Linked DNA regions of Sus scrofa. The protein of the gene in region 3 purifies or fractionates together with the protein of the main gene of each other region. This does not show direct contact. Links are inferred from orthologs where the notes say so. Each region holds a gene or a part of one and is shown on either strand. Other genes may lie near its edges.

The links.
Region 1: the proteins of NUP153 (region 3) and NUP133 purify together in Homo sapiens (co-immunoprecipitation; 3 studies listed by BioGRID and IntAct, with this or other methods). This does not show direct contact. The link is inferred for Sus scrofa from reciprocal best matches to the Homo sapiens genes NUP153 and NUP133.
Region 2: the proteins of NUP153 (region 3) and NUP50 purify together in Homo sapiens (affinity purification with mass spectrometry; 8 studies listed by BioGRID and IntAct, counting the BioPlex papers as one, with this or other methods). This does not show direct contact. The link is inferred for Sus scrofa from reciprocal best matches to the Homo sapiens genes NUP153 and NUP50.
Region 4: the proteins of NUP153 (region 3) and RAN purify together in Homo sapiens (affinity purification with mass spectrometry; 5 studies listed by BioGRID and IntAct, counting the BioPlex papers as one, with this or other methods). This does not show direct contact. The link is inferred for Sus scrofa from reciprocal best matches to the Homo sapiens genes NUP153 and RAN.
Region 5: the proteins of NUP153 (region 3) and KPNA1 purify together in Homo sapiens (affinity purification with mass spectrometry; 3 studies listed by BioGRID and IntAct, with this or other methods). This does not show direct contact. The link is inferred for Sus scrofa from reciprocal best matches to the Homo sapiens genes NUP153 and KPNA1.

What each region holds. Positions count from the first base shown.
Region 1 is NC_010456.5:60,361,948-60,367,853, reverse strand, and holds part of NUP133 (nuclear pore complex protein Nup133), read right to left. Parts: intron 5,071-5,906; coding exon 4,936-5,070; intron 4,354-4,935; coding exon 4,183-4,353; intron 2,574-4,182; coding exon 2,418-2,573; intron 2,167-2,417; coding exon 2,096-2,166; intron 856-2,095; coding exon 708-855; intron 1-707. UniProt on the Homo sapiens protein: Involved in poly(A)+ RNA transport. Involved in nephrogenesis.
Region 2 is NC_010447.5:4,197,444-4,203,349, reverse strand, and holds part of NUP50 (nuclear pore complex protein Nup50), read left to right. Parts: intron 1-968; coding exon 969-1,087; intron 1,088-2,030; coding exon 2,031-2,233; 3' UTR 2,234-5,906. UniProt on the Homo sapiens protein: Component of the nuclear pore complex that has a direct role in nuclear protein import. Actively displaces NLSs from importin-alpha, and facilitates disassembly of the importin-alpha:beta-cargo complex and importin recycling.
Region 3 is NC_010449.5:13,410,010-13,415,915, forward strand, and holds part of NUP153 (nuclear pore complex protein Nup153), read right to left. Parts: coding exon 5,849-5,906; intron 2,715-5,848; coding exon 2,520-2,714; intron 1-2,519. UniProt on the Homo sapiens protein: Component of the nuclear pore complex (NPC), a complex required for the trafficking across the nuclear envelope. Functions as a scaffolding element in the nuclear phase of the NPC essential for normal nucleocytoplasmic transport of proteins and mRNAs.
Region 4 is NC_010456.5:24,313,922-24,320,453, forward strand, and holds the start of RAN (GTP-binding nuclear protein Ran), read right to left. Parts: upstream 4,104-6,532; 5' UTR 3,842-4,103; intron 3,261-3,841; 5' UTR 3,251-3,260; coding exon 3,215-3,250; intron 2,784-3,214; coding exon 2,699-2,783; intron 2,619-2,698; coding exon 2,493-2,618; intron 1,298-2,492; coding exon 1,110-1,297; intron 894-1,109; coding exon 723-893; intron 635-722; coding exon 590-634; 3' UTR 1-589. UniProt on the Homo sapiens protein: GTPase involved in nucleocytoplasmic transport, participating both to the import and the export from the nucleus of proteins and RNAs. Switches between a cytoplasmic GDP- and a nuclear GTP-bound state by nucleotide exchange and GTP hydrolysis.
Region 5 is NC_010455.5:138,042,327-138,048,664, forward strand, and holds the start of KPNA1 (importin subunit alpha-5), read left to right. Parts: upstream 1-2,756; 5' UTR 2,757-2,761; coding exon 2,762-2,890; intron 2,891-6,338. UniProt on the Homo sapiens protein: Functions in nuclear protein import as an adapter protein for nuclear receptor KPNB1. Binds specifically and directly to substrates containing either a simple or bipartite NLS motif.

The DNA.
Region 1 (5,906 bases), on a different chromosome or scaffold from region 3:
GAGTATTTAATGTACTTGCCTCCAATATAATCTCTGAGCAAAAATTGTTTGTTTTTTTTTTTCCCTTTAATTTGCAGGGGTGAAACCAAAGCCCAATTCCTATCAGGTTCCTTCCTTATTTTTCACTCTGCAGTTCATGGTCAGCATTTTCTTTCTACTCAGTGATAAAGAAACAAGAATCCCTTCACAGAGTGGGAGCAGGAGAAACACACTTGCTGCCAGGCGCTCCACTCCCACTTCTCTTTAGCTAATCCAAGGGAAAGGAATGTGTTTAACACGGCAGACAGGATCCAATGCCCCCAAACTAGCAATTTAAAATGTATTTCCGAGCCAGCAGATGAATTTCTCAAAGAATCTGGCCCTGCAACAGTTAGGAAAAATAACTCAGTATGTTATTGTCACTGTGTAATTTCACTTACAGACAGGGAGGTCCCATCGTGGCTCAGTGGAAAAGAATCTGGCTAGCATCTGTAAGGACGCAGCTTCAATCCCTGGCCTCACTCAGTGGGTTAAAGGATCCAGCACTGATATGAGCTGTTGTGTATGCTGAAGACACAGCTTGGATCTGGTGTTGCTGTGACTGTGGCATAGGCTGGCAGCTAGAGCTCTGATTCGACCCCTAGCCTGGGAACCTCCATATGATGCAGGTGCAGCCCTAAAAAGACAAAAACCAAAAACAAAAAAAAACTTACAGACAGATATCTTACCTGAAAAGGTGGATTATACTGAGTGACTTCTACAGTTACTGCATCTGACATTTGGTAGCCATTATCTTCCACTGCTATCAGAGAGTAATAGACGAGACATGGATTGTCTGCTAGGTGCCATGCCGCAGCCAAAATCAGAAGTCCATCACTAATCAGTGAAAAAGAAAGATCTACTGCCTCTTCAGAAAACAGCCTAGCAATTTCTTACAGTTAAATATGCACTTACCATGTAACCTAGCAAACCCACTCCTAGAAGTTTACCCAAGAGAAATAAAAACATGTGTTCACACAAAAAAATCAGTGTGCAAAAGTTTCTAGTGGCTTTACTTATAATTGCATAAAACTGGAAACAACTCAATAGCCTTCAACTGCTGAACAGATAAACAAACCCTGGTAAACCTATGCAATGGACTACTACTCAGCAGTAAAAATGAAGGAAGCACTGAATAAGCAGCAGGTGCATTATGCTACATGAAAGAAGCCAGACTCAAAAGGCTTCATAACATATGGTTCCATGTATAGTACAGGGTCAAGAAACACATCAGTGGTTGCCAGGAGCTGAAAGTGGAGAAGGGAGGGGTTGATTACAAAGGAATTTTTCGAGTGATAGGACTATTCTGTATCTTGACTGGTTACAATTAACTGACTATGCATCTGTCAAAACTCACTGAATTATACACTAAAAAGGGTGGAAAATATTTACTGTATGTAAAATGTAACTCAATAAATCTGACTTAAAAAAAGATCAACAAGTCATTAAACACAGGGACGGGCAAAGCACAGCTCTCAGGCCAATCTAAGCCCAGGTGAGTTTCCATAAATGAGGCTTTCATGTATATGTGAAAACAAACTTTTTTCATCTTAAGATTTATATGGTCCTCTTAAGTCTATCAAAGTTGTTGCCCCAAAAAAGAATTAAATGGTCTCTAATCTCAAACCTTCTACAATATTTAGTACATTTTTTAGCAGCTTTCATTCAAGTCTCAGAAATATTAAAAGGGTGGCAAGCACCCTCTACTAACAACTAAAAATACTAAACCAAGCTAAAGACTAAACGACACTCCACTTCAAATCAACACAGTGGGTAAGACAGCTCTAATTAAGCACAGAAAAACAAGGAGCTCCAGCTGTAACAGCAGAAAAGCTGCATCCCTAGCTAGGGCAGACAGCTAATGTGACACACAGCTGAAGGCTGCCAAGCACCTAGACTTCTTAAATGAATTAGCATCATTAGATAACACCAAACCATTTAGTAAGGCATCACACTATAAGGTTAGCATTAGAGGCACTAGAAGAACAGAGAGCAAGACTGATCATCATTTTATAGTAAAGATCAACTTATTTCTCCAAACAACTACCATGTTCTTTATGACAAATGAATTGCTTACCAGTTTTGCCTCAAATCCAAATACCGAATGTTGACCCCTTCTTTAATAGCTTCATAGTTACTTTCAGATCCCTAGATGAAAACATCAGTAATGTAAGCTACTGGAGTACAGGAATCATTTCTTTCCACTTTATATCCTCAGCACTGAGTAAAGTGCCTCAGCCACAGTAGTTCAAACTGTTACTGAATGAATACTGCATGCATTTTAAAAATTAAGTGCATCAATGAATGCCAATATCTAAAGACTGAATACTCCATTTCTGCTTATGTGATGGCTAAAACTTTACAATTGTGAATTAGAAACAAATGCTACTATTCCTTACCCAAATAGCATCTATAATGTTTTCCTTCAGGACTCTATTTATATCCCAACTATGTACTTGTTTTTCTGAAGAATCATCTAATTCCCATTTACTGATGTTTGAACTTGTCAGGCTATAAAAGCTTGATCTCTCTCTATCCCAAAGGACACTTGAAAGCTGTATGGAGAGAAGAAAAAAGTTTATAGGTTATTAAGTTCTAATGTTAATGAACTATTTCTCTGAAACTCAAACTTAGTGTATTTTATAACTACTTGATTAGTAATCCTAAAACAGAATTCTTCATTTAGGACTCAAAGGAAGGAGTGATCCTAAAATAGACCTTGAAAGGAAGGAAGATTTCCATAGGCAGAAATATAAAGGCAGAAGGTCCATGAAGAGCAGGGTTGGAGGTGGGAAAGTCACAGGGTAGTGAGCAAGCAGTGATCCTGCTAAACTGAAATGCAGATTATAACTAGGAAAGAAGCAAAAATGGGGTTTAGCGAAAAACCAGGGACACAGAGCAGAGGCTCAAGTGGGAGTTTGTGAACCTAGTAAGCAAGGGTGATAATACTAATGGCTTTTGAGTGCAAGAGATGCGACATAGGAAAGGGAACCTGGCAGGTACGTGTGTAGTTATACATAGGTGTGTTACTTTTAAGTATATACTTGCTTCTGCAGTAGAGATGTGTTTCTTTTCGTTGGGTACACATGACTGTTTTGAGTTAAAACCCTAAATGTCTCCACTTCTCCTGCTACTATGACTCTGGCCACTAATGGGATAGGAGGTGCTCCCAGGGAATAAAGTGGGCTGGCACCAGGAGTTTAGGGGAAATCTACCAACAGTGTGGACTAGGGCATAACAACAGAAGCAGGAAGATGGAGCTGCAATGAAATGTGGGAGAAGTAAAAACCTAGAGTACCTCGTAGATCATCGCTCCAGGAGAGGAGACACCAAAAAAAAAAAAAAAAAAAAGAAATCATAGTTTTATACCTGGGTCTCCAAAAAGAGTGATGGTGCCCTCAGAAATAGAGAAGTCAAAAGAGAAATGAGCTCTGTATGTTAACTTGTAGTCAGTTGGAAAGAAGAGAATAGGAGGAATTTGTTTTTAGACATTAAGCTTTGGGTTTAAAGACAATTTAAGGAAGCAGATGATGACAGCAAACTGAAAACAGAGGGAACAGCACAGTCAAAAAAAAGCTTTCAATTCCAAAAGGCCTGGACATGAGTCTACTGAGTGGTCTGTAGCCTCACTGAGGCCATGTCCTCAGTCCTCACCCACAAATCAAAGATAAAGCTCTCTACACTACAGGCCACTAGTAATCACACGAGACAGCAAGCACAGAGCACCTGGCTCACACCTGGAGCAGGTGCCCCACACCTGTTCCTTCCCATCATCCTCCTTCCATTCCTTGGGAAACTGAGGCAGAAGCCCTGCCAACACAGACCTGGGTCACCCACGCAGACAGCTAGAGGAGATGGAGTGGAGAACACACTTTTGGTAAAGTCTAGAAAGCAAAACTAGACATTTATAATTTTACATTGTAGTTTTAACTTAAAGAATGTACCTCCAAGATAATCTGTGTGATTTAAGAATATTAATGTTAGAGGGTATGCAAGAGGGTTAGTATGAACTCATTTGATCATCATTTCCACTTCACTGGAAAAATCAAAGGCTCCATCTCATGTACATCACTGGTCAGAGAGAGGCAATACAAACTTCACAGGAAACTTACTGATTTCACTAAGAAAGACACTTGTAAGACAAGAGTTCTTTCGTCAACTTACTAGGAGATCACTACTAGGAGACAAAATTCCCAAAAGAGAAGAAACCTTCCGACCAATTCCTGAAAGCACGCCTTGCCCTTGAGGCAGGATATGCTGGTGGATCTTTCCTAAACTTTCAGGGATCAGACGAATTTGCTGGCCTCCTGAAGAGGACAAGATAAAACTTCCTCCCTGTGAACAAATATCATGGAATTAGTTCAGTTAGGCATTTAAGACTAAGAAAAGAAAATTAACGGAAATTGTTCTTATAACTAGGAAAATCATCTGTACGTTAAGTCCAAAAGAACACTGTTGTTTTATTAAAATAACTTACTTATGAATCCATTCACTTACTATTATTAATTCTACACAGAAAAACTTTGTTGAAGTTTTTTTGATTACAAGTTTCTTAAATTCTGACTTTTAAGCTATAAGTTCACCATAAGGTAGGTTCAACGAATCAAGCATCAGATTCTATTTCTTTAGTAAACCTGCAGAGTATGTATTAACAAACCACTCCTCATGTCAAAATTTCTAAGTCACTCCCATAAGGTGTTTCTGAAAGAAATGAAAACCACCGGCTACTATGCACTACTGATATTTCAGAGACCCATGAGCATGGCTTCCCCTTGTCTAAGCATTCAAATCCTAGATCCTTACCTTTCTTGCTTTTTTACTCCCACCAGCCCCACAGGCCTGTGTGATCTGTTCAAATCCCCCTTAGAGGCCTCATCATGGCTTTCCAGTAAATGTAAAAGAATGCCCATCATATACCTGCACGGCTGTTAGGAAGCTGTAAGTCTTATCCCCTCCTGAGTCCACGGTCGTCTCTGTGTAGGTGTCCTCACTAGCAAGGCTTGGCCAGTAGCGGATGGATCCTTCTCTGGTGGCCACCATGACAGCAACAGCCTCAAAACAAGATCTCGAACTCAACAATCACAAGAAAAGAAGGACCCCAAATTGGAAGTCTGACAACACCAATGTAAAGAAAACAGGATGACGTACTACTAATTACCAGAAATCAGAAATAAAAACTCCTTTTCTTTGTTAATTATCATACAGTAAAATCGATGTTTCTGCCCTTTAGTTTCACGATTCTGCAAATTTTTCTTTTTTGGCCACACCAAGGCATATGGAAATTCCCAGGCCAGGGACTGAATCTGAGCCGCAGCTGTGATCTACACCACAGCTGAGGCAACACCAGATCCTTAACCCACTGCATGGGGCCAAGGATAGTATCTGCACCTCCAGAGCAACCTGAGCCACCACATTCGGATCCCTAACCCACTGGGCCACAGGGGGAACTCCTCACAGATCTATGGATTTTACAACACAGATAGACCCATAACTACCACTATGGTGAGGATACAGAGCAGTTCCACCAGCACCCAGAACTCCTTGATGCTTTCCCTATAGTCACACCTTCCCATCCTAACCCCTGGCCATCACTACTTCCATCATCCTTGTCCTATCTTTCTGAGGATGCCAAACCAACCCATACAGAATATAACCTTCTGACACTGGCTTATCTCACTGAGCATGATGTCGCTGAGATTTATCCAGGCTGTAGATAATCAACAGCTCATACCTCTTCAGTGTCATCCACACTACAGACAAATCAGTTCATCCATCCATTCACTTGCTAAAGGATGTCTGGATTGCTTCCACCTTTGCCCATCACAAGTAAAGCTGCTATGACATGAGTGTACTATTTCTGCATGAACATAAGCTTTAATGTCCCTAGA
Region 2 (5,906 bases), on a different chromosome or scaffold from region 3:
CTGTCTTTGAGAACTTTTCATAGACTAACAATTCATTTGTTTGTTTAAAAGTTTAATTACACATGATGCCGTAAAGGAATGACTCTGACTTAAGTTTTTTCTGATCAGAAAAAATAGGAGCAGGCAGTGGTTTTGCTTTTTTTTTTTTTTTTTTTTTTTTTTGGTCTTTTTGCTATTTCTTGGGCCGCTCCCGCAGCATATGGAGGTTCCCAGGCTAGGGGTTGAATCGGAGCTGTAGCCACCGGCCTACGCCAGAGCCACAGCAACGCGGGATCCGAGCCACATCTGCAACCTACACCACAGCTCATGGCAACGCCGGATCGTTAACCCACTGAGCAAGGGCAGGGACCGAACCTGCAACCTCATGGTTCCTAGTCGGATTCGTTAACCACTGCGCCACGACGGGAACTCCCAGGTTTTGCTTTATTGATAACCTTAAGAGATGTGTGACTGGAGGCCGAGGAGATATTTGATTACATTATCTGCAGGCCTTGCCTAAGTGTGTTTTCCAGACTCATTTCAGTGTCCTGGGAGATCAGAGTCTTGCAGAGAATTCAAAAATAAGAAACAGCAAGGGGAGGGGCAGCGTGGAGTGGCCTGTACTCCTTCCTGTTCTCTAAAGGCCAGGTCAGCGCTCTCGAACTCAGGGCCAAAGGAGCACATCAGGGAGGGGGGTGCCTGGCCACGATTTCCAGACTTTTAAGAAAAGGTAGTTTCAGAAAGCGTCATTAAAGAGTTGTTCAGGGCCCACTGTGTAATAATTTAAAAAACGTGGAGGGACTCTAGACTGTCTGACCAGATTCTCTCCTCTGGCTTGTGCCCAGACCTGATCTGGGTCAGAAGGAGAGTCTCCTGAGCGTCCCCGCCGTCGCTGAGTACCAGGCTCCCACGAGTGTGAGCGGGCCCTTTGAAACTGACTGTCGTGGTTTGTCACCGTGTCTGACCATACCCGTTATCTTTCTTCATAGGTGTAAACTATTTTACAAGAAAGACAATGAATTTAAAGAGAAAGGTGTGGGTACTCTGCATTTAAAACATACAGCCAATCAGAAGACACAACTTTTAGTGCGCGCAGAAACCAATTTAGGTGGGTACTTTTTTTTCCCAGGTGGCACAAACAAGCGTAATCACATACTGTGTGAAAGCCTTTCCTAGTCATTGAGATTTTCAGGAATCTTAATGTGTTTTTTGGAACAAAACGGAGATTGTTCGGGACAAATTCATCCTGTACCTGCTGAGCATTTATAGGTTTAGTTGAGTACCAGGTCATTACCGGGTACTCTGTGTGTGAGAAAACCGAGATGTATTAAAAACCGTTGCCAAGAAGTAAGCGAAGTGGTTCATTTTCCTTTGTGTTAGGACTGTGACGAAGAAGCTGTAGGTAAATTGGATCATTTAGTAACCATTCAGGGAGGATTAACCTTGAAGAAGAATGGAAGGAATCATTGTTATGTAGCAAATAATCATTAACTTGTTCCCCTCCGCTCTTACCCCACCGTCCAGCTTTACCCACTGGGAGGAGGGGGTCGCCCCTCGGCTGGGGCCTCAGCAGTGGTGCTGCCCCGACTGGGTCCCAGAAAGAAACTTCTTGGGACACTGTCACAGTAATGCCACGCTCACCCCATGAACTCTGCTGGCCTCTGTGGCAGAGACCACAGAGTGGTGACCACTCCGTGTTCAAGTGACATGGTGAAGATGCCACGTCGGGCCAGCGGGTTGTTCCTTGGGGGCCGGGGGGCCCAGTGTGTTCTGGGGGGGGGGGCTGGTGTGGCGGTGGGAGACGGGGGGTGGGAGGTGGCAAAAGGCGGCTGCTCCTCACCGCGGCTGAGTCCATGTCCTGCCGGACGCCTCACGGTCCTCTTGGGGACACTGTGCTGGTGTCTGTCAGGGAGCCATGCCACTCCCATGGCTCCTCATTTTAGATCCATCAAGTGTGAGCTGCATCCGAATCCGAATTCAAGCCGCAGTTTCACGGAGCTGTGTGTGTGGCGGGTAGAGTCCGATGGCCTTTCTCCTGTGTTTAACCGCAGGCAACATCCTGCTCAACGTTCTGATTCCGCCCAACATGCCGTGTAGCCGCACGGGGAAGAACAACGTGCTGGTCCTGCTCATTCCGAACCCACCCATCGATGCCACCAACGCCTCCGTCCCGGTCACCATGTTAATTCGGGTGAAAACCAGCGAGGACGCAGATGAGTTGCACAAAATTTTACTGGAGAAGAAGGATTCCTGAACACGCTTCCCCTGAGGAGCTGTTGCCAAGTTGCTGCTTCCCCACTGCCCTTTAAACTTAGTTTTCTTCTCTTCTTTGACATTCTAGAACTTAGAGATAACTTAAAACTTTTGTGAGGAAGATAAATATGGCCAATAAAACCTTTAATATTACCTGTCAAGAAACTGTATTCTCCCTTCTTAAAAGCTATCTATCTAATGTGTAAAATATATTTGAAAGAAATTTTTTGGAAGGTTTTTAATGTTCATTGATTAAACTAATCACCAGTGATTTGTTAATAATGAACTGCAATCAGGGTATCGAGTAGATTTCCCAAAGGCCTTTCCGGTCCAGGGGCTGGGGCTCGCTGCCGCCCCGTGTCCAGAAGGGAGTTGCCGGGAGCGCTCTTGTTTCTGCTGGCCCTGGCCGATGGGTGTCCGAGAGAACCGAACTGCCTTGCTGGGGCAGAGACGGTTCCTCTTTGCTTTATTTTATTGTGTTATTTTACAGCTGAAGTGTCTGCCTTCAGCGTTGGAGTCCTCAGCCTTTTCTGTGCAGACGCTGGCCTTTAACCCCAGAGGCTGCTTTGCTGTGGTTCTGGAACTGCTTTTTCTTTTTCAAAGGAAATGTGTGGCTTGTTCTGTGGGTTTGTAGGCATATTCATGAGGTGCTCTTCCTTCTGTATCCCCTGGAGACAAATGGGCTGGGGGATCGCCAGGACCGAGGTTGCAAAGCACAAACTTGGTAGCCTGTAGTTTGTAGACAGAGGACAGTAAACCCTTATTAGAGAGTCAGGGCTAAGCTGTGCAGCAAGTGGAAAAGGGTGTTTGTGCCACGATGAACCCCGTGGATCTAAAACCTGCTTGTTATGTCACGGGGGCGTTCGTTACACGAGCCGTGCGAACTTCCCAGGAAATAGGCAGTGAGGTGACGGGAGAGAAAAGTGTGTGTGTAAAGGTTGCTTTTAGCTTTTAGACAGGAGTGCATTTTGCATTTGGTACCTGAAATTTCCGTTTACTTTTTTAAGAGTGAGGTAATCCAGGAGTCCCCGTGATGGCTCAGTGGAAATGAATCTTGACTGGTGTCTGTGAGGATGCAGGTTCGATCCCTGGCCTTGCTCAGTGGGTTAAGGATCTGGCGTTGCCGTGAACTGTGGTGTAGCTCGCAGACGCAGCTTGGATCCCGCGTTGCTGTGGCTGTGGCGGACCCCTAGCCTGGGAACTTCCATATGCTGCATGTGCAGCCCTAAAAAGACCAAAAAAAAAAAAAAAAAGTAGAGTATGCCACATGTCCGTCTGAAAGGGAGCCATGGTTGTGCCCAGGAACGCCCGTGTCACCTCTCCACAGCTGTCAGTAACTGAGGCTCGTGTTCTTTGAAGGCTCTGGACCTGTGAACTTGATGTGAATTTGAAGGTTGTCAACGCCCACTCTCATTCCTCTCGAGCCGTTCGGTGCTGGCACCAGCGCATCTTGTTTCAGTTGAGTCTCAGGGTCTGTGCCTGGGGGCTGGTAGCACTGCCACAGGCTCATCTTCAGCCATGATTTATTTTCTGACTTGGGAGAGTCAAAGTAACTGGGTGGTAGAGTTGCTTAAAACAAACAAAACTGTAATTTTCAGATGTTAAGGGGCGGGAAAACCTCCTTGCGGTCAGATACGTTACTCTGAACACACTTGGGGTAAGGTACGCGGGCCGCGTTTATCTCGCGACTCTCGGCGTTCTCCTCTCGTTTCCCTGATGGCCCTGGGAGAGTTGGAAGCCCAGTGCGTGACTTCGAATAGACAGACACATGTGGAGAGAGGTGTGCTCGCCATATACTGGGGGATGTGGTTAAACTCCTTCGTGTTGTGAGGCCGCGGGAGGAAGTGGCACTTGTTGCTTTTAACTTTTTAGAAGTGAGACTATTGAGTTTTGTTGTGGATGATTTTTAGTGACCACGTGGTCGGTACTGTTAGAACAGTAGGGCTCTGCAGCTGTGACAAAGTGGAGGAAATCAGAACAAACTCGGCGCCTTCGCCTTCGAGCCGAGCCGCGTGCTCAGCCGCACATGCTCCCAGGTCCTGCCCGAAAGTCAGGCGCACGGTGGCGGCATCTTTACGAAGGAAGGCTTTGTGCGGTGTTGGGTTTGCCTTTGCTGTGATGTGGAGTCGACCAGAAATGGCCTCTAGCAGTCAGGACTGGATTACCTCTTAAGCCCTGCTTGTCTTTTTAATGGGTATGTGTGGCTTGCTTGCTTTTTTTTTTCTTTTTAACTAACATTCCCAGCAAATTCTTGCTGCTCAGACTGTACTGTTAAAGGGAAAATTTATCGGGGAAAATGTGATGTGTACACCCTACGACAAAATGTGATCTTTTCTTAAAATCACTCAGTGTTCTAGGAACTCGCTGGTCTCCACTTGAATCACGTATTAGTATGAAGGCCCGAGTGTGTGTGGGTTTCGCTGTAAAATCCAAGGCCGTGTGTGTTGTTAGGGGAGGGCCCCTCGGCCCCTGGCGGGCCCGCCTGCCTGTTCATCCCCACTGTCTTAACGGCGCAGTTCTGCCCCATGGGATCAGATTTATTTTTAACAAATTATTATAAATGAGGATTTAAAATGTTTAATGTGGGCTGGACTTTTTATCTTTAGTTTGAGAATCTGTAAGGAGTGTTACCACAAATGTGACCTGAAGGGTGTGTGTGTATCTTTGATTCTAAATCAGATTGTGTTGTATCTTGACAAATACCAAGTACCCCAGTGGCTTTTTCTTTTTTTCTTTACCAGTTTGTGTTCTCTCCTCCTTTTGAGCCATTTCCCATGAAGCCAAAATGGAGTGTTGGAATTAAACTAGGTTGAAAATGTGTGTCCAGGGTTTAAAGTTCAGATTGTGTTTCCCGTGGAAGGACAGGTATGTTTATTAACTAATTTTCTTTCAAAGGATTATTGTTTTACAGTTTCAATTCCAGATCATATTTTTGATATGCTGCATGCCAAAAATACCTACCTGTTCTGGGGTAGAGGGAAAAAAACCTAATATTCTACCTTACTGTTAAGAGTTCAGAATGAATTTTCACTGAGAAAGCCTTTTGGTTCCGTTTTAGAGATAAATAAGTTGCTTGTTTTTGAGCACTTGCCAGTCATGATTGTATTTCAGAACAATCCAAATAAATGTAAGCACGGTGTATTTTGAAGGCTCTGCAGATTTGCAAACTAAGCGGCTCATTCCCTAACCCCTGGTAGTCATCCTCATTCTAGAAGTGAGAATTCCCGGCGGAAATGGATTTGTCCTGTAGCACCAGCGGGGGCAGTGGGGGGCCTGTCCAGACGTCTTCCCGCGCGGTCCTCTGAGCACCAGGCCCCGTGTACGTCTGTGGCCAGTGGTGATCACGTAGGGACCGAGGAGCCTGCGTTTGATGCAGACGCCGTTGCAGCAGAGACAGGAAGCTTCGTAGCAATCAAGTGGGGGAGTCGTTTGCTTTCTGTTTTAAATAGGAACTCGTTTCCTAAAACGCAAATCCTTGACCTGTCAGTGTAATCTCAGTTTGTATTAGCTTTTGAATGATCCCATTGAGGAAGTGTACGGATCGTGAACTGTGAATAAAGGGAAAGTAAGCAGAATCGCAGTGTTTGAAACTTTGGTGTTCTTCCGTGCCGCACCTGGCGCTGTAATGCCGTAAAACCACTGAAGTGCCCAAGTCAAGCCCTGGCGGGGGGCAG
Region 3 (5,906 bases):
TCTGCAAAGTATTAGTAAACATGAACCGAACTACCCATACATTCAGCGGGAGAAGCACATCTTGATCTTGACAACCACACTGATGTGCTACTTTTCATCAGAATGGCAGAGATGCAACAAGTTTGATGAAAGAGTGTTGGTGACGAGACTAGGAATAATAGACACTTTAGACACTGCAGGTGGATGTGTAAATTAGCACAAAACTTGCAGGAGGCAACTTGTCAGTATTTACTCCTAATCACAAACTCATGTTGTGCCCTCTGACTCGGCAATTTTACAGCTGAGTATTTTTATGATAAACTACTAAATAGGATATGCAATCCAGACAGCTGTAAGTGATGAATGAAAAACAAACTCTGTCCAAGCTTCTTTGTGGTAAAGCCAAGGGTGAAGACAGTGTGGTATACATCCTTTTCTAACAAGGTAGACAGAAGCGAGAATATGGAGAAGTATATTTGGTTCTAATGTGCATAAAGCAACTCTGAACCAGTTACGAGAAGCTAACAACAAAGAGCTATTACCTTTGATGGGGGGAAGGATGGAAAACGAGCCAATGAGGACAAGAGACAGACATTTCACTGTGAATTCTGTCATAATCTGCTTAAGTCTTGTGAGTAAATGTGTTATTTATAAAAATTAAAAATTTTCACATTAGGAGTTCCCGTCGTGACACAGTGGTTAACGAATCCGACTAGGAACCATGAGGTTGTGGGTTCAATCCCCGCACTTGCTCAGTGGGTTAAGGATCCGTTGTTGCCGTGAGCTATGGTGTAGGCCAAAGACACGGCTCGGATCCCGAGTTGCTGTGGCTCTGGTGTGGGCCAGCAACAACAGCTCCAATTAGACCCCTAGCCTGGGAACCTCCATATGCCGCGGGAGCAGCCCTAGAAAAGGCTAGAAAAAGACCAAAAAAAAAAAAAAAAAAAAAAAAAATTTTTTTTTTTTTTTTTTCACTTCAAAGAAGCAGAATTAGGAGTTCCCGTCATGGCTCAGTGGTTAATGAACCCAACTAGCATCCATGAAGTCTCGGGTTGAATCCCTGGATCCAGCGTTGCCGTGAGCTGTGGTGTAGGTTGCAGATGCAGCTCAAATTCCATGTTGCTGTGGCTCTAGCGTAGGCTGGTGGCTACAGCTCCAATTGGACCCCTAGCCTGAGAACTTCCATGTGGCGCAGGTGCAGCCCTAAAATTAAAAAAAAAAAAAAAAGGACCAGAATTTTAGGAGTGGAAACAATATTTTAAAAGATAAAAATACTATTCTGACAAGATCAGTACCTTGGTTTCGGAATGCTTCTTTAGTGGAATAAACCAGAAATGAAGCACCTAAATGACCAGCTCAACACAGAAATCATTAAACAGTGCCAAGCTACTGATCCATCACTCTGCTCCCCCAGGTATAAATAAAGATAGTGACAGCCATTACCTACCTCACTTTCTTTTCCCTAAGAAATTTATTTGAAAAATTATGTCAGAATTTCAGGAGCAACTGGCCACCCACATGGTCTCTAAAATACCTTAAATGATATCAGACAGAAAGCTAAAAATCAAGGTGCCAAAGACATCTTAACTAGTTATCACCTCTGTCTCAAAAGGAGGATTTAACGGTATGGTAATTACTGTATTTACAGGCGGGAACATGGGAAAGGGACCTGAGCTAACAGCTACAGAAGGAGCTTTAGCGCTCTGCTAAAACCCAAATGCAGCGTTTTCTTTTTCTTTTTTTTTGTCTTTATCTTTTTAGGGCTGTACCCACGGCATATGGCGCTTCCCAGGCTAGGGGTCTAATCGGAGCTATAGCTGCCGGCCTACACCACAGCCACAGCAACACCAGTTCGGAGCCATGTCTGCCATCTACACCACAGCTCATGGCAACGCCAGATCCTTACTTAACCCACTGAACGAGGCCAGGGATCAAACCCACAACCTCATGGTACCCGGTTGGATTCGTTTGAGCTGCACTACAATAGGAAATCCAAATGCAGCATTTTCTAAGCCAGCTGTACCCCATCAGTCACGCAATTAATTCAGTGGGTACAACCAGCATCTTCCTTCTAAAATGAAAATGAATAGAAAATATACTTATCTTTACTGCTAACCAGCAAATGATTGGTTTTTATAGTAATTTAGAGATAGGAGCTAAGGTCCAGGACAATACCTCTTTTTACATGGATTTTTTTTTTTTTTTTGTCCTTTTAGGGCCTCGTTAAGGGTCAAATTGGAACTGTAGCTGCCGGCCTACTCCTCAGCCATAGCAAGATCCAAGCTGTGTCTTCGACCTACACCACAGCTCACAGCAACACCGGATCATAAACCCACTGATCGAGGCCAGGGATCGAACCTGCATCCTCGTGTCCGGCGTCCTCATGGTTATTAGTCTGGTTCGTTAGCGCTGAGCCATGGCAGGAACTCCTCATTTTACATGGATTTTCAATAAAGAACAAATCATTTTAAAACCAAAACTGTTTACCTATATTTCATTTTAAAGTTGTAACATAAAAAAGTGCTTTACTAAGACCTTACCTTTAAACTCAGACTTGGTGCCTGGTTTTGCACTTTCGCATGCTATACATTTGGTGGAATCTGCTTTATTCTCCACTAGGCACACATCACAGTTCCAGTTTCCCTCAGGTTTCTTAAACTTGTCCAATCCTAGGGAGCCTCCAGACAACACAGAGACAGGGACAGTGCTGCTACTTGAAGCAGGTACTGAACTTCCTAAAAAATAATGGAGAAATACAGGAAAATTCCTAATTTACATCATGTCAATATCTCAGTGACACCACCAAGTCTTAATTTCCATTCTTATTAGAGTTTATTAAGATAGAGAAAATGCCAGAAGTCTAAACATTACATTGTTAAAAACAATACAGACATCTCAGATTTCTTTTAATCTTATAAATGAGCAACTCACAAACCTTGTGCAATGATGAGCTCCCTCTTAACCCCAATTATGAAGAGCCAGGATTTTTAAAAATCATGCTCATATTTCAGAGCCTAAAAGACTCAATTCTCCTTAAGATTCATTATCAAATTTCACAGCATTATACAATGTAAGTTCCAAACTGTAGGCAACAGTCTAAAACATAAAATACAGAGCCTAGACCACATTCATTTCAAGATTGCCAAGGACAGGGCTCTGCTTTGAAATGACAATTTTGCATAGAAATGTTCTACTGGCCACTCTGCAATTCAACTCGATACTACTGACTACCGTCCACAGCATTTGTTATAAAGCAGCTATCTAACAGACATGAATTAATAAGCACCATAACGTTCTTAGGTTCTGGGGGCGGAGAGCAAGATGAACAAGATGTTGCTTAACTTCTAAAGGTGCTCATGGTCTAAAAAGGGGGAAGTAAAACAAACATAAATGCACAGTAGCACCATTACGGACAAAGAGTAACACATGATCTAAACAAGAGGACAAAGAGGAAAGGACTACAGGACAGGAGAAGGAGTCACAGAGCTGATATTTACATTTTTAAGCAGAACTAGCAACTGTGGGGGAGAGGCGGCAGCACAGGAAGGATGGCTCAGCGAGGCGCAGGTGCATGAAGAAATAGTGTCGAGAGCGGAGCCATTCATTCTGGTGCCCCCACTTCTCTAAATGTTCTCCAACTGTCGTCACTTTTCCCAGTTACCTGATCTGCCGTTTACTGGTATGTTCTTTTCCATCCTGCCAATAAAATCGTTCCATCTTTGGTCCACTGCCCTTCTCACAAGCTCTCCTCGACTCCGAACATTTTAATCACCAAACAAAACCATCTTCTGATCTGGACCTGCCACCCACTCTTCAGGTTTCCTCCCCGTGCTGTCCTCTTGTCGGTGGTTCCACTATCCCCCTGGTTACCCTGGCTAGATGGCAACTCTTCCCTTACCCTTACACATTCAATACATTTCATTCTTTTTCTGACCCTTCTCCTGCTATTTTGGTTTGAGCTCCCTCACCTCTTGCTTAATAGCCCTGTTTTTTGTTTCTTTTCTTTTTTTTTTAGGGTGGCGCTTGTGGCACATGGACGTTCCCAGGCAAGGGGTTGATTTGGAGCTGTGGCTATGGGCCTACACCACAGCCACAGAAACACTGGATCTGAGCCACATCTGTGACCCACCCCGCAGCTTGTGGCAACGCCGGATCCTTAACCCACGGAGGGAGGCCAGGGATCAAACCCACATCCTCACGCACACTACGTCAGGTTCTTTTTGTTCCCTTGAAATCCATCCTCTAAAAAGCACCAGTACCGTGTGGTTTTTGATTTTCCTCTCTGGTTACTCCTTTAAAAGATTAACTGTTCCAAAGTTTTATTCCTGCTACTCCCTTAAGTTAGCAGAGTTCTGTTTTAGGCTGTCTATTTGCTCTGCTCATTCACCTCACATCACCTCTACGCCCATGACTGACTTGAAAATTCTGGGCTAAGTCCTCCCGGATCTGTATCTCCAGCCCAGAGGGTCCAGCGTCAGTGTAACCAAAGGCTTCACACCTATCTGTCAACTTTAGCAGCTTGAAAGCAACCATGTCTCCAACTGCACATTATTCTACGGCCCCCTCTAATCCTTATTTGATTCCACTAGTACACATCACTAGGATCTTGACCTATATAACTGATATAACTTCCTAATCTGTCCTCTGGTCTCCAAATTTTGTTGCCTTCAAATCTATCCTCCAAAAAGCCACCGAGTGATTTACCAAAATTACAAGTTTGACCAGATCATTTTCTGCTTATAATGGTGGTTCAGCTAAAGGATGAAGTGGAAGTTTTTTCATATATATATGAGCTTCCTTTGTTTCTGTATAACAATTTCCTGACTCAGTTTTATTCTCCCATCAACTCAATTAATTTTGGTTTCTTGCATGCATCAGGGCTTTCTTTCTTTCTTTTTAAGGGGAGGAGGAGGAATACCAGATGGGAAGAGAAACCTATTTTAGAATAGAGATTCTGAAATCATTCTTGTGGAGAGGTCTAGGAGGAATTATGAATAAGGCTCACCCCTTGTATTAAGACAGGGGTCTGGGCTATTAACCCAAGAGTTTTCCGTTGCAGACACAAAACCACGCATCCATGAATGAGGCAATAAAAATAGGAAGTATAATTCCCAGGATACTCATAACATGTTTTATTTAGTATCCATGTTACTACATATCTATACCAAATAATTATATAAAAGCATTACAAAAACATCAAAAAGTCATTTCCAAATGAATTAAAGATCAATTTAAATCTTCAGTAACTCTTTCAAAATTGAACAGAGAAACAGAACTCAAACCTAATTCCATTTTTCTGGCTGCCTATTTTAAGATCATTGCAATATGTCTGGCACATGGGTGAATATTCAGCCACAGCCTTCTCATAAAGCAATACCATCTACCCTTTAATGAAACTGTCCCGGAAATGACCACCAGCCATCCTCACTTCTACTTCAAGGAAAAGAGACAAAGTAATATTTCATTCTGCATAAAGGTTTGAGAGAGACTGTCCCGTTCTAAGGCCTTTGCATCTATATTAGCCAACTTTGGAAATGATGGTTCCCATTCTAAGGCCTTTGCATCCATATTAGCCAACTTTGGAAATGATGGTGAAGAGCCCAAAGTTCCTGATAAAAGTGCATACAAAGAAGAGGTCAAAGCAAATGCTGGACTGATTAACACAAAGCCTATCCTAATAGGACATGCAGTTTCAGTTGCGAACAAGTCATTTTACTCTCAAGACAGTTTAGAAAAATTAATGTACGAGGAAATGCGCATCCTGAAACATCTAAAACATTGAGGTTATTCTTAGCTGTTTTACAGAGAATAAATTAAAATGTTCTATTAAAGTAATGAACAAAATTATTCCAAACAGCCATAAACGTACCTGGTTTCTCAGACATACAGGACACACATTTATTGTCTTCCGCATTATTAGAAACACA
Region 4 (6,532 bases), on a different chromosome or scaffold from region 3:
GTAGGTATTTTTTTAGCCTAACTGCATTGACAATATTTACAACTCTTATCGAATACAATACTGCTGACCTGTCATCTTGTGTGAAATGATTCAGATGTACAGGAAATTAGAAGTACTTAACCTAATAAACTTCAAATTAAATGGTAATAGCAAAGGCAATCCAAAATAGTAACATGGCACAATTTAGTGGTTTTAAAATGCTCACTTAAACAAGGGATGAGTTCACTTGCTTAGATATTTGAAATACAACTTTATTCTGATTCTAAACGAAAAGGAATGGGAATGACAGTAACAAACAAGATTTCACCACGGAATATTGTGATGCGACTGTAGCAGTCTTATATTTGAAACTCAAGAAGGAAACAACTGTGTTCCAAAACAGCTAAATATGCAGGTCCAAAAAATGAAGGTATATTTTTTTAACTGCCACATTCACTCCGAAGCCCATTCATCTCCTTCAGCACCCCAAAGATTAAGCACATATTCTGCTTAGCTATATAATAAAGTGGCAAACACGCTGCACCACTGACATCACAGGACAGTTGCCTATAAAACTAGACTTCTGACGCTGGGCTCCAGCTTTGTTTTCTCACAGGTCATCATCTTCATCCGGGAGAGCAGTTGTCTGAGCAACCTAAAGACAAGATATAAAAAAGCTGTAATACTCCAGAGGCAAACCATTAGGAATCTTTTACAGCATTACTAAAATGGAAGCATCCTACCTCTAGATCATGCTCATACTGTGCTGCCAAGGCTGGGTCCATGACCACCTCTGGCGGGGCAAGAGCAGGCATGGCGACAAACTCCAAGTTAGGGTCTCCGATCAGTTTCCTAGCAAGCCAGAGGAAGGGCTTTTCAAAGTTGTAGTTACTTTTTGCAGAAATGTCGTAGTACTGTTTAAAAGAGAAATAAAACTAATTGTAAAAACCCACATATTGGAACTTCCTTTGTGGCACAGCAGGTTCAATCCCTGGCCTTGGAACTTTAATATGCCAAAATAAATAAATAAAAAATCCATGTCAAAAACATTATGAATTACTTTAATGTTCCTGTATCATAATTTTACCCAAGGATCATAATTCAGAAATTTTAAGTTTTAAGAAATGTACCTGAAGGTTCTTCTTTCGGTGGAAGACAATCGATTTTGCCTTAACCTTTCTGTCCTTAATATCCACTTTGTTGCCACACAACACAATGGGGATGTTTTCACACACTCGTACCAGATCTCTATGCCAGTTAGGTACGTTCTTGTAAGTAACTCTCGATGTTACATCAAACATTATAATGGCACACTGAGCTGGAAAATGTACAGCAATTAGTACATACCAAGGAATTTACTACCCAAATGAAAAAAATGTTGAAAACTATGGACTCAGATTCATAATCTCAGGCCTAACTCTAATTTCTCTATTCAATTGCAAGGTCTATACCAATTCTAAAAATCTTAGACCATTTAAATATACATTATTTTAAATTCTCTTTTATTGTATGTGAAAGCATGAAAGACCAGCCTACCATATGAAATCTCTCCACCTGTAGTAATTCATCATAAACTCTGCCTCATTCAAAAAAAAAATACCCAATGTAGATTAACAATAAATTAGCATTCCAGAGAACTCACCTTCCACATATAGGATGTAAGAATCTATTCTTTAAAAGGTTCTTAAATAGATAAATACATGAGAATATATAGTGTGCCTGTTTTCAAAAGTTCAGTGAAGCCCGTATTTATTGTCTTATAGAACAGCCATAATAAGGCTGCTAAGCCACTAAGTAGGCACAGTGTATCACACAGATTTGTAGCTAAAAGATTTGGCTGGCGGGAATCCTTGCATTTGTATGTACCCAAGGAAAGCAAAAGACATGGAAAGATTCTCAACAATTTTCATCAAAAGAGAAAGATTCTAGGAAATAAGCATTCTTTATTCATCTTTTTTTCTTGGTATAAGCACTTATTTCCTTCCATTTTTTAAACCAAGCACTTTGAAATAAATATTCCACAAGACCTAGTACATTTAAAAAGAAATCAGCTGGTCCTATACAACATTTTATAAGACAGAAGACCTAGCTCCTCTGGTCCAGCATCTGCTCAAATGTTTACTACCTTTTCAATGGAGTGCACAAGAAATAATCGTTGAAATCACCAAAATATATATTCAAACACTCCCAAGTTTTCAAATACAGGAGCTCCAGTAACAGCTTGTCTGTGGCGTTTTAAGTTATGAGCCTGAACACAAACCATAGTTTCTTCCAAAACCGTGCCTATCATGACACAATCAAATGGCACATAACAAACTTCACAAAATTCTCTGCCCCTCAAATGATGGTCAAGTCCCTGAAGCCAGCACATCCTTTGGATCCAACTACCCGATTCCCAGTTCAGTCAGTACTATGCATGAGTCTACTGGACTAGATCGGATTATTTATAAGCAACCTTGGAGACCAACTCACAGATCCTCTCGAAAACTGTTGGTTACAAATCAAGCACCTACCTTGGATATAATAGCCATCTCTCAGTCCACCAAATTTCTCCTGACCAGCCGTATCCCATACATTGAACTTAATAGGTCCTCTGTTGGTATGGAACACAAGGGGATGGACCTCAACACCCAAGGTAGCTGAAACACAAGCACTTCCAGTTAGTCGCTGAACTCATCCATTTCGCACACATCTTCATCAATGGTTTTCCCCTACGTACCTACATACTTCTTCTCAAATTCACCAGTCAGATGACGTTTCACGAATGTAGTTTTCCCAGTACCACCATCACCAACCAATACAAGCTGTCGAAAGACATTTTTGAAATAAACACCAAGACACGCAACATTTCAGGATCTCAGAATTATGTAGTTAAGATTTTATGGACACCCATTGCACTTACATAACAGAACTTTAAATATCCCTTAAGTATATTTAAAACAAAGAATCTTAATGAAGCTGCCCTGTCCCATATTAATGAATGACTGGAGCCAATGAAACTTCCCTTGCCCAGCTTCCCTATCCGTAGGGTGGGGCCAGCACCCCCACCCCGTTATCGGGGGGCTGAAGGCCCTGCCGCGGCACGAACATGTTGGCAGACGAAGTGGGCCTTCGACACAGGTTTGCGGTCATAAAGGAGACCCTGTGAAACCCGTTTGGACAAGAGCCCCCCCCCCCCGCAGATCCCCTCCTCAGGTCCACAGCAGCAGATCCCCAACTCACGAGGATTACCTACTTTGAACTGAACTTGGGGCTCTCCTTGGGCAGCCATCGTGATGTTACTGCGAGAGAAGGAGAAAGAAGTGAGGCCCGCTGCACAGCGGCGCGGGCCGCATGGCCCGACCCGCCCCACGTGCCCGGGCCCACAAAGGCCTCCAACCCGGAGCCCCGCCGCCCACTCCCCCTCCCCCGACACCGCACGCGGGCGGCCGAGGGCGCGCCAATGGCGACGGCGGCGCTGCTCCTCAGCCGGGCTCCTCCGGCCGCCGGGGCCCGGCGCGCGCCCAGTCGGCGCGGAGGCCGGGCGAAAGGGAGGCTCGCTCGGCGCGGAGACCGGGGCGCGGAAAGCGCCTGGTCACGGTAGCACAACCAGGCCCAGCCGCCCCTGGCCCCCGCCAGGACCCTCCAGCCCGATCTCCCCTCCGCCTGGCCGCCCCGGGGACCCTCTCCGCCCGCCCGGCCCACTGCGGCCCGGGTTCCGGCGCCGGCCCGGGGCCTCCGCGGCCAGGAAAGAGAGCTTTCCACCTGACACCTAGGCCCCGCGAAACCACCTCCTCATGGCTGCCGCTAGCCACAGCCACCGGGACGCCCCGACCCCCCCATCCCCGCCTTGGCTCCTCGGCCTCCACCCTTGCCCCGCTACCTTCCAGAAGCGTCTCCGCGCCCGTCTGACTGAGGGCTAGAAAGATGGCGGAAGCGCAATTCAAATGCCCGGAGACGCAGACGACGCCGGCGCGCGCCGGGGGAGGGCGGGGCAACGGCGCCGCGCCGCTCCCACGTGGCCCGGCGCGCGCGCGCGCGCGCACACGCACACAGCACAGCTTTGGCGGCCGCACCCGTCGTCCAGGAGGGAGAGGCTCCCGGAGCCCCGGACGCGGGAGGCCCGGCGGTCGCGCGCACGCACGTCGGGCTGCCGGGCCACGTGCGCCAGCCTAGAGGGCGGGTTCCCGCGCGCGCATGCGCTGACAGCGACGCGGCGCGCCCTGTTGCCGCCGCGGGAACAGAGCTGGGAGGAGAGGGCCGAGGCCCCCTTGGGCGGGAAACTCGCGGGGTGGCCCACACAAAGCCTTTGACCCCCCCCCCCCTCGCAGCTGTACGAACGCGGCACCGCAGGCCCCGAGCGGGCGCCATGTTGGGGTGCGTGCTGCCCCACCCCCACCCACCGGTATTCTGGCCCCTGCCCTTGACCCTCACCCCCATCTCAGTAAGGACCTTCTGGAGAGTAAAAGAAGCAAAGACCAATGTCTTTCCCATCCTGAAATGCCAGTCACTTTTTTCTCTGAGCATCTAAGTGGTCAGCAGCCTTTGTGGCCCTATTCTGCAAACAGGATGATGCAATGTAGTGTTTCCACCTTGGCAGCTCTTCTGAGACAAACAGGCATGCAGTCATTGAGTATTTAGGTTCCAGTCATTGAGTATTTAGGTTCCAGACTCTTGTGAGGGTAAGGCTGTCAAGGGTCCAGACAAGAACTGTGCACTCATAGAACTTAATTCTCCAGGGCATATCCACCTGTGGCCATTGTCCAAGAGAGAAAATGAGGTACACCTCAAACTCAACAAGTGTTGGTTATTCCCATTCACTTGCTTTGAGCAAAGCCGTTGGCCAAACGGAGCCCTCCCACCTCACATCGTAAATCTAAAGGCCAGGTTTTGGCATTTGTCTGAACAGCCACAGATTCTCAAACTGATATGGTTTTGTTTGTCTTTTTGCCTTTTTCAGGGCCGCTCCCAACGCTTATGGAGATTCCCAGGCCAGGGGTCTACCAGGCCAGGGGTCTAATCGCAGCTGTAGATGCCCGCCTCCGCCACAGCCCCAGCAAAGCAGGATCCGAGCCACCTCTGCAACCTGCACCACAGCTAACGGCAACACCGGATCCTTAACCCACTGAGCAAGTCCAGGGATTGAAGCCACATCCTCATGGTTCCTAGTCTGATTCGTTAACCACTGAGCCACGACAAGGAACTCCTCAAACTGATATGTTGATCCCCTCTCCCCAAGCAAGCATATCAGGATAGCCAAGTTCCTCAAAAGATTCCACCTTGGGGACTCTTCTCAGAGCAAAGAGAACCCAAATGACCAAGGAGTTAGCCACATAGTCCTGAGCATACTTGCAGGCTAGTCTACTGGGAACTCGTGATATATTGGACACAGCACATCTGAGCACATGCCTGCTGCAAAGTCAAGTCTGAGGACTCCCTAGACACCCCCCACGAAAACATCAAGTAGAGCTGATGCCCCTGGTGAGAGTGTAAATTGGTTTGGCCTCTTGGGAGAGTAGAATGGAATAAAACACACATTAATGTCCATAGCTCATGACCATCTATTTCCATTTCTAGGGAGATGCCCTAGAGTTCAACTCACACATATGCCCAAGGAGATAAGTTATCCCAATGCTCCCTGCCATATGATAATAACAAAAGATTAATTTTATGTAAATGTCCATTGATAGGAAAATGTATAAATAAACTTATACTGTGAGTTTCCTGTACAGCTTTTTAAAATTTATTTATTTATTTTTTGTGTTTTTGTTTTTGTTTTTTTGCTATTTCTTTGGGCCGCTCCCGCGGCACATGGAGGTTCCCAGGCTAGGGGTCGAATCAGAGCTGTAGCCACCGGCCTACACCAGAGCCACAGCAACGTGGAATCCGAGCCGTGTCTTCGACCTACACCACAGCTCACAGCAACACCAGATGGTTAACCCACTGAGCAAGGGCAGGGACCAAACCCGCAACCTCATGGTTCCTAGTCGGATTCGTTAACCACTGCGCCATGACGGGAACTCCAGCTTTTTAAAATTTAAATTAAAAATTTTTTGGCTGTGCTTGCAGCATGTAGAAGTGCCAGGGCCAGGGATGCAACCCACACCACAGCACTGACAGGTCCATCCTGTACAGACAGCATTTAAGAAGAATGAATGGTGACGTTCCCATTGTGGCTCAGTGGTTAAGGAACCCAACAACTGTCCATGAGGTTCAGTCCCTTGCCTTGCTCAGTGGCTTAAGGATCTGGCATTGCTGTGGCTGTGGCTGTGGCCAGCAACTGCAGCTCTGATTTGACTTCTAGCCTAGGAACTGCCATGTGCCTGCTGCGACCCTAAAAAGACAAAAAATAAATAAATAAAACTCAGTATTTATTACTTCTATTTTTCCCAAACGTTAACACTGTTTACTTGATCATTTGCCTTTACCATCCTGGCTTTCTGTCTCTCAGTATGTATATGATATATATTTATGATTTCCTATATATTATATATATGATTTTTCCATATATCATATACACACAGACGCACACATGTTTTTTTTTGTTTGTTTGTTTTCTACTGCAATGTTTGAG
Region 5 (6,338 bases), on a different chromosome or scaffold from region 3:
GAAAAGGCACCAAGGTTGTAAAGAGAGAAGCAGAACTGTCTTTGACAGGTGACAATATCTTGTATGTAGAAAATTGTAACGAATCCACTAATATTAAAATTAACAAGTTCAGCAAGGCTGTGAGATACAAAATCAGTATATAAAAATTGATTGTATTTATATAGACTTGTCATGAACAATCCAAAAGTGACATTAAGAAAATAATTCCATTTACAGTAGCGTCACAAATATTAAAACATTTAATATTTAACAAATATTAAATTTAAATTTGATTCAACCAAAGTGTAAAACACTTTGAAAACTACAAAACATGTTGAAAGAGATTAAAATTCTAAGTAAAAGAGTTCCCGTCGTGGCTCAGTGGTTAACAAATCTGACTAGGAACCATGAGGTTTCGGGGTTCGATCCCTGGCCTCTCTCAGTGGGTTAAGGATCCAGTGTTGCCATGACCTGTGGTGTAGGTCGCAGACTCGGCTCTGATCCCCTGTTGCTCTGGCTCTGGCATAGGCCGGTGGCTACAGCTCCGATTCGACCCCTAGCCTGGGAACCTCCATATGCCGCTGGAGTGGCCCAAGACAATGGCAAAAAGACAAAAAAATAAAAATAAAAATAATTAAATAAAATTCTAAGTAAAAAATAATTATGTCTTCATGAGTTGGAGGATTTAACATTAAGGTGTTGGTACTCCCCAAATTGATCTGCAGGTTCAGTGCAGTTCATATTGGAATCCCAGCTGACTTCTTTGTAGAAATTGACAGGTTGATTCTGAAATTTATGTGAAATAGTAGTGCATCCAGATGAACCAAAACTATCTTGAAAAAGAATAAATAGGACTTATACTTCCTGTTTTTAAAACTTCCCACAAAAATGATAAACGGGGAGTTCCCATTGTGGCTTAGCAGGACCCAGTATAGTGTCCATGAGAATAAAGGTTCGATCCCTGTCCTTGTTCAGTGGATTAAGGATCTAACATTGCCACAAGCTGTGGTATAGGCTGCAGATGCGGCTCGGATCCAGTTTTGCTGTGGCTGTGGTGTAGACTTGCACCTATAGCTCCACTTTGACCCCTAGTCTGGAAACTTCCATATGCTGCAGGTGTGGCTTTAAAAAGAAAAAACGGTAATCAGAATTGTGTGGAGTTGGCATAAAGATACACATACAGATCAATGGAATAGAATTGAAAGTTGAGAAAACTGTGTGTCTCTGATCCAATGAGTCTGAGAAAGGGCGTCAAGACCATTCAATGGAGAAAGAATAGTCTTTTCAATAAATAGTTCTGGAACAACTGGTAGTCATATGCAAAATAATGAAGTTGGACCCTTACCTCACATCATATACAGAAATTAACTCAAAATGGGTGACAAACCTAAATGTAAGAGAATAAACTCTAAAACCTTTTGTGCTTCAAAGTACATCATCAAGAAAGTAAAAAGACAACCTATAGAAGGGAAGAAAATATTAACAAATTGTAGATTTGGCAGAATACATAAAGAATTCATACAGCTCAATGGTAAAAAAAAGACATAACCCAGTTTTAAAATGGTTAAAGAATCTGAATAGACTTTTTTTATGGAGGATATGTAGTTGGCAAATAAATATTTTAAAAGACATCTAGCCATCTAGACTGGCTAGAATCACAAGGTTGTTATACTTTTGATCTCATGTTAAGGTGCTATACACCTGAAACTAACACATTATTGTAAATCAACTATATATACTTCAATTAAAAAAAAGTTTCAATAGCAGGTATTGGTGAGGATATGGTTGGCAAACCTTGGTACACTTCTGTTGGGAATGTAAAATGGTGAAGCCATTTTGGAAAAGGTTTGGCAGTTCTTGAAATGATTAAACAATGTATATAAATTATATACCCAAGAGAAATGAAAACATTTCTGCATAAAAACTTGTCCACATGTATTTATGGAAGCACTATTTATAATAGCCAAAAAGTGGAAAGCATCCAAATGTCCATCATTTGATGAGTTGGTAAGTATAATAGAGTATGTATGTATGATGGGATAGTATTCAGCCAAAAAAGGGAATAAAGTACTAATATATGCTGCAACATAGTTGAGCTTTGAAAATATTATGCTAAGTGGAAGAAAGCCAGGCTCAAAAGATCACACATAATTCTATTCATATAAAATATCAAGAATAGGAGTGATCACTTTTGAGGTGGTGAAAATGTTAAAAAAATTAACTGTGGTGATGGTTGCACATAATTGTGAACATACTAATGGTACACTTTAATAAAGCTGTTGAAGTAATCATTTGACATTCCAGTGTGGGGGATCTGGGCACGTATATCTGTATGTTTAAAAAGCTGAAGTATTGGAGTTCCTGTCGTGGCTCAGCGGTAAACGAACCTGACCAGTATCCATGAGGATGCGGGTTCGGTCCCTGGCCTCGCTCAGTGGGTTAAGGATCCGGCATTGCGGTGAGCTGTGGTGTAGGTTGCAGACATGGCTCAGATCTGGAATTGTGGATGTGGTATAGGCCAGTGGCTACAGCTCCAGTTCGACCTCTAGCCTGGGAACCTATGGATCTGGTGTAGGTCACAGACATGGCTCAGATCCTGTGTTGCTTTGGCTGTGGTGTAGGCCAACAGCTGTATCTTTGATTCGACCCCTAGCCTGGGAACCTCCTTGTGCTGTGGGACAGAAAAAAAAAAAGAAAAAAGGCGAGCTATTAAAGTAACAGAGCTCTTTATGTTAAGCTAAGTTCTTCTGTTCCCTCCCTTTCTCTTATTTTTGTAGAAATCATGACTACCCCAGGAAAAGAGAACTTTCGCCTGAAAAGTTATAAAAATAAGTCCCTGAATCCTGATGAGATGCGCAGGAGAAGGGAGGAAGAAGGACTACAGTTACGTAAGCAGAAAAGAGAAGAGCAGGTAAGTCCTTTAACCTCATTAATTTCTCAGAACTAACATAATGTTCCATTTTAATCCTGACAGCAAACCTTTGTTTTAATTTTAATGATGTTTAATACATATGTGTGTGTATATATACATATATTACCTCCCCCCACTATAAAACCAAAAATCCTTTATTTTAGGTGTAGGAGAGTGTAGGTAATGAAAGGTAGGATATAAGAATGGAGAAATCTCTCAGGTTATTATGTTCCTAGTATAACCTCTGTTTAGTATTTTGGCCTGTTAAATTTTTCTAAAGTTACAACTTCTGTAAGGATTGTATATGTATATTAATGAATTCTCAAGTGGCCAATAAATTATTGCTTTTTATTCTGAATTTTAATTTGAAAGTTTATAAACATATACAAAAATATAGAGTAGATAATGAACCTCATAAACCCATCCTTTGGGTTGGGTTAAACCCATTATGAGGTTTAATTGTCAACAGTTTGCTGTATTTGATTCATGTGTCTATCTTTACTTTTTTTATTATGACGTATTTTAAACAAAATTTCAAGGACTAAGTCTTTTCACTCCTCAATTCTGTATAAAGACATTCAGGGCAAGGATTTTTGATCATTTTAAACCTGAGAACATCTACAAGTGATCCTAAGACTCACTCTCACTTGACCTTACTCTAAAAATACTCATAGAACAGGTGATCCATCACTTTTGGCAAAGAAATTTAAAAGATAGAATACTTAGGTGACTTTTTTTTCCTAAGACTTGAGCTTGGAAGGACCACTTGACCCCCATACTATAAAAGCTCTGTAAAAGGCATACCTGAGAAATAAGGTAATCTGATAAAAAATATTTTTTAGTGAGGTATTCTCGATATATACACTGTTGTTTTGAGTAGTTCACTAGATAATCCAGTTATGTGAAGTCCAAGAGTACATTACAACCTCAGTGTTTTGTTTAGGCTACAAATGTTTGAATCACTATGTCATTCTTACTGTTTGAGGGTAGGGACTGAGTTTGTAATATTGTAATACAGCTTGTATTAACTTCAGCAAATTAAGTTAGGAGTTTTTAACATTCTGCTTTATGATCTTTGAAAGCAACCACTTGCTCATAAAAGGATTAGTTTCTTTTGGTTTCTTGTTGCCTCTTTATTCCTCTATGTGTCTTATTTGAAGTGGAACCTTTTCTTTGGATGAGCGTTTATTTAGCTTCTGTTTTGGGGGTAAGTTTCAGAAATTACAACAGTACTGTTACATATTTATATTTGCATGTAAATATGAATACATGTATACACACCCAAGCACAAGTCTGAATATAACCAGTAGCCTATGACTTATATTTGGCATGAAGCCATTTGAAGATGTAGTAATGGCACTCTGCCATTAATAGTGTACATTTTATACTGTTTCTTTTTGGTGATGGGGATTTTGTGTTATTAGACTTCATTATAATATAAACAAAGTAAAATTTTCATATTCAGTTCCCTGAAGGCATGGTTTGTTTTTTTTTTTTTTTTTTTTTTTGTCTTTTTTTTTTTAGGGCTGCACCCACGGCATGTGGAAATTCCCAGGCTAGGGATCTAGTTGGAGCTGCAGCTGTTGGCCTGCACCACTGCCACAGCAATGCCAGATCTGAGCCATGTGTGCAAGCTAGACATGGCAAGTCCAGATCCTTAACCCACTGAGCGAGGCCAGGGATCAAACCCTCATCCTCATGGAAACTAGTCAGGTTTGTTACTGATGAGCCACAACTGGCACTTCTAAGGCAGATGCTTTATCAGGTGACAGGTATAGCCCCACTTATCTGACTAATAAAACACTGATAGTTGAAGTTCTGTCATCTTCATTGTATGTGATCTGAAACTGTGCTAGTGCTTTAAGATAGTTCTATGATAAGTTTCTGGAATATTGTTCTATTTAAAATCTTCCAAAAAAAAAAAAGGAGTTCCCGTTGTGGCACAACAGAAAGGAATCCGACTAGGAGCCACGAGGTTGTGGACTAGATCCCCGGCCTCGCTCAGTGGGTTAGGGATCCAGCGTTGCCATGAGCTGTGGTGTAGGTCACAGGTGGGGCTCGGATCTGGCATGGCTGTGGTGTAGGCTGGCAGCTGTAGCTCCAATTCGACCCCTAGCCTGGGAACCTCCATATGCTTCGGGTGTGGCCCTAAAAAGCAAAAAAAATAAAAACAAACCCAAAAACAAAAAACTTAATTTTGGGAGTTCCCGTCATGGCTCAGAGGAAATGAATCTGACTAGCATCCATGAGGATCCAGGTTCGATCCCTGGACTTGCTCATTGGGTTAAGGATCTGGCATTGCCTTGAGCTGTGGTGTAGGTCGCAGATGTGGCTCAGATCTGGAGTTCCTGTGAATGTGGTATGGGCCAGGGGCTACAGCTCCAATTCGACCTCTAGCCTGGGAACCTCCATGTGTCGCAGATGTGGCCCTAAAAAGACAAAAAATAAAAATAAATAAATAAAATCTTAATTTTGTTGTTTCATACATGCCATCTTATGTAGGGAGAACTCATAAAAACAAATCACGCTTCTTAATATCACATCAGTACTTGTTTCATGCCTAATTTGTAAAATAGTAAACATCAGTAAAATACAGATTCATTTAGGTACTGTTTATCTTCCCATAGTTGCTCTGTCATCTATCGGGAAAAATTACAGGCTTGGGCCAGCTGCACAGCTAGATTTGAGGGTAGTACAGGAGTTGATGCTGCCAAGTACACAGAAGATAACTGCATCTTTTAGAACTTTACTTGTAGCAGACTAGCACTTAATATCTGTTATTTATGTAGCACTGTATAAATGGCCTTTGTTTATTTGACACCAACAGATCAAACTAAAATTCATTTTTTGGCAAAAAATTTGCTAGTTGATGTCATTCTGATTGAGCCAGTTTTGTAATTTTTTCATGTATTAAAAGATGAACGTTTTACATTTACTATTAAAATACTTTGAATTGGAGTTCCCTGATGGCCTAGACGAGTTGGCACTGTTGTGGCTCTGGTTGCTGCTGTGGTGCGGGTTTGATCCCTGGCCTGGGAACTTCCACATGCCATGGGTGCAGCCATATAAAAATATACGTGTGTGTGTGTGTGTGTGTGTGTGTGTGTGTGTGTGTGTGTTAAACAGACTCTTGCTAACTCAGTGTGAGTAGGTAACATTAGTAACACTGAGATGCTAAAAAGTGTGTAAAACCCATAGTGATGAAGAGTGGGCGCTTGCTTGATGTTTTTATTTACAGGAAATATCTCATGAAGTGAACAAGTTGATAAAACTTGTGGACAGCCAGCCAACTTTTCCCACTGAATAACTTGGTTGATGAATTCAGGCAACATGTACTCTATATAAGGCATGCAAATCATGATTATTTTGGTAGTTTTTGTCTTTTATAAAACCTGTTTTTTGTGACAGCATGGATGTACTTTGAAGGCATTATGTGGAGTGAAATAAG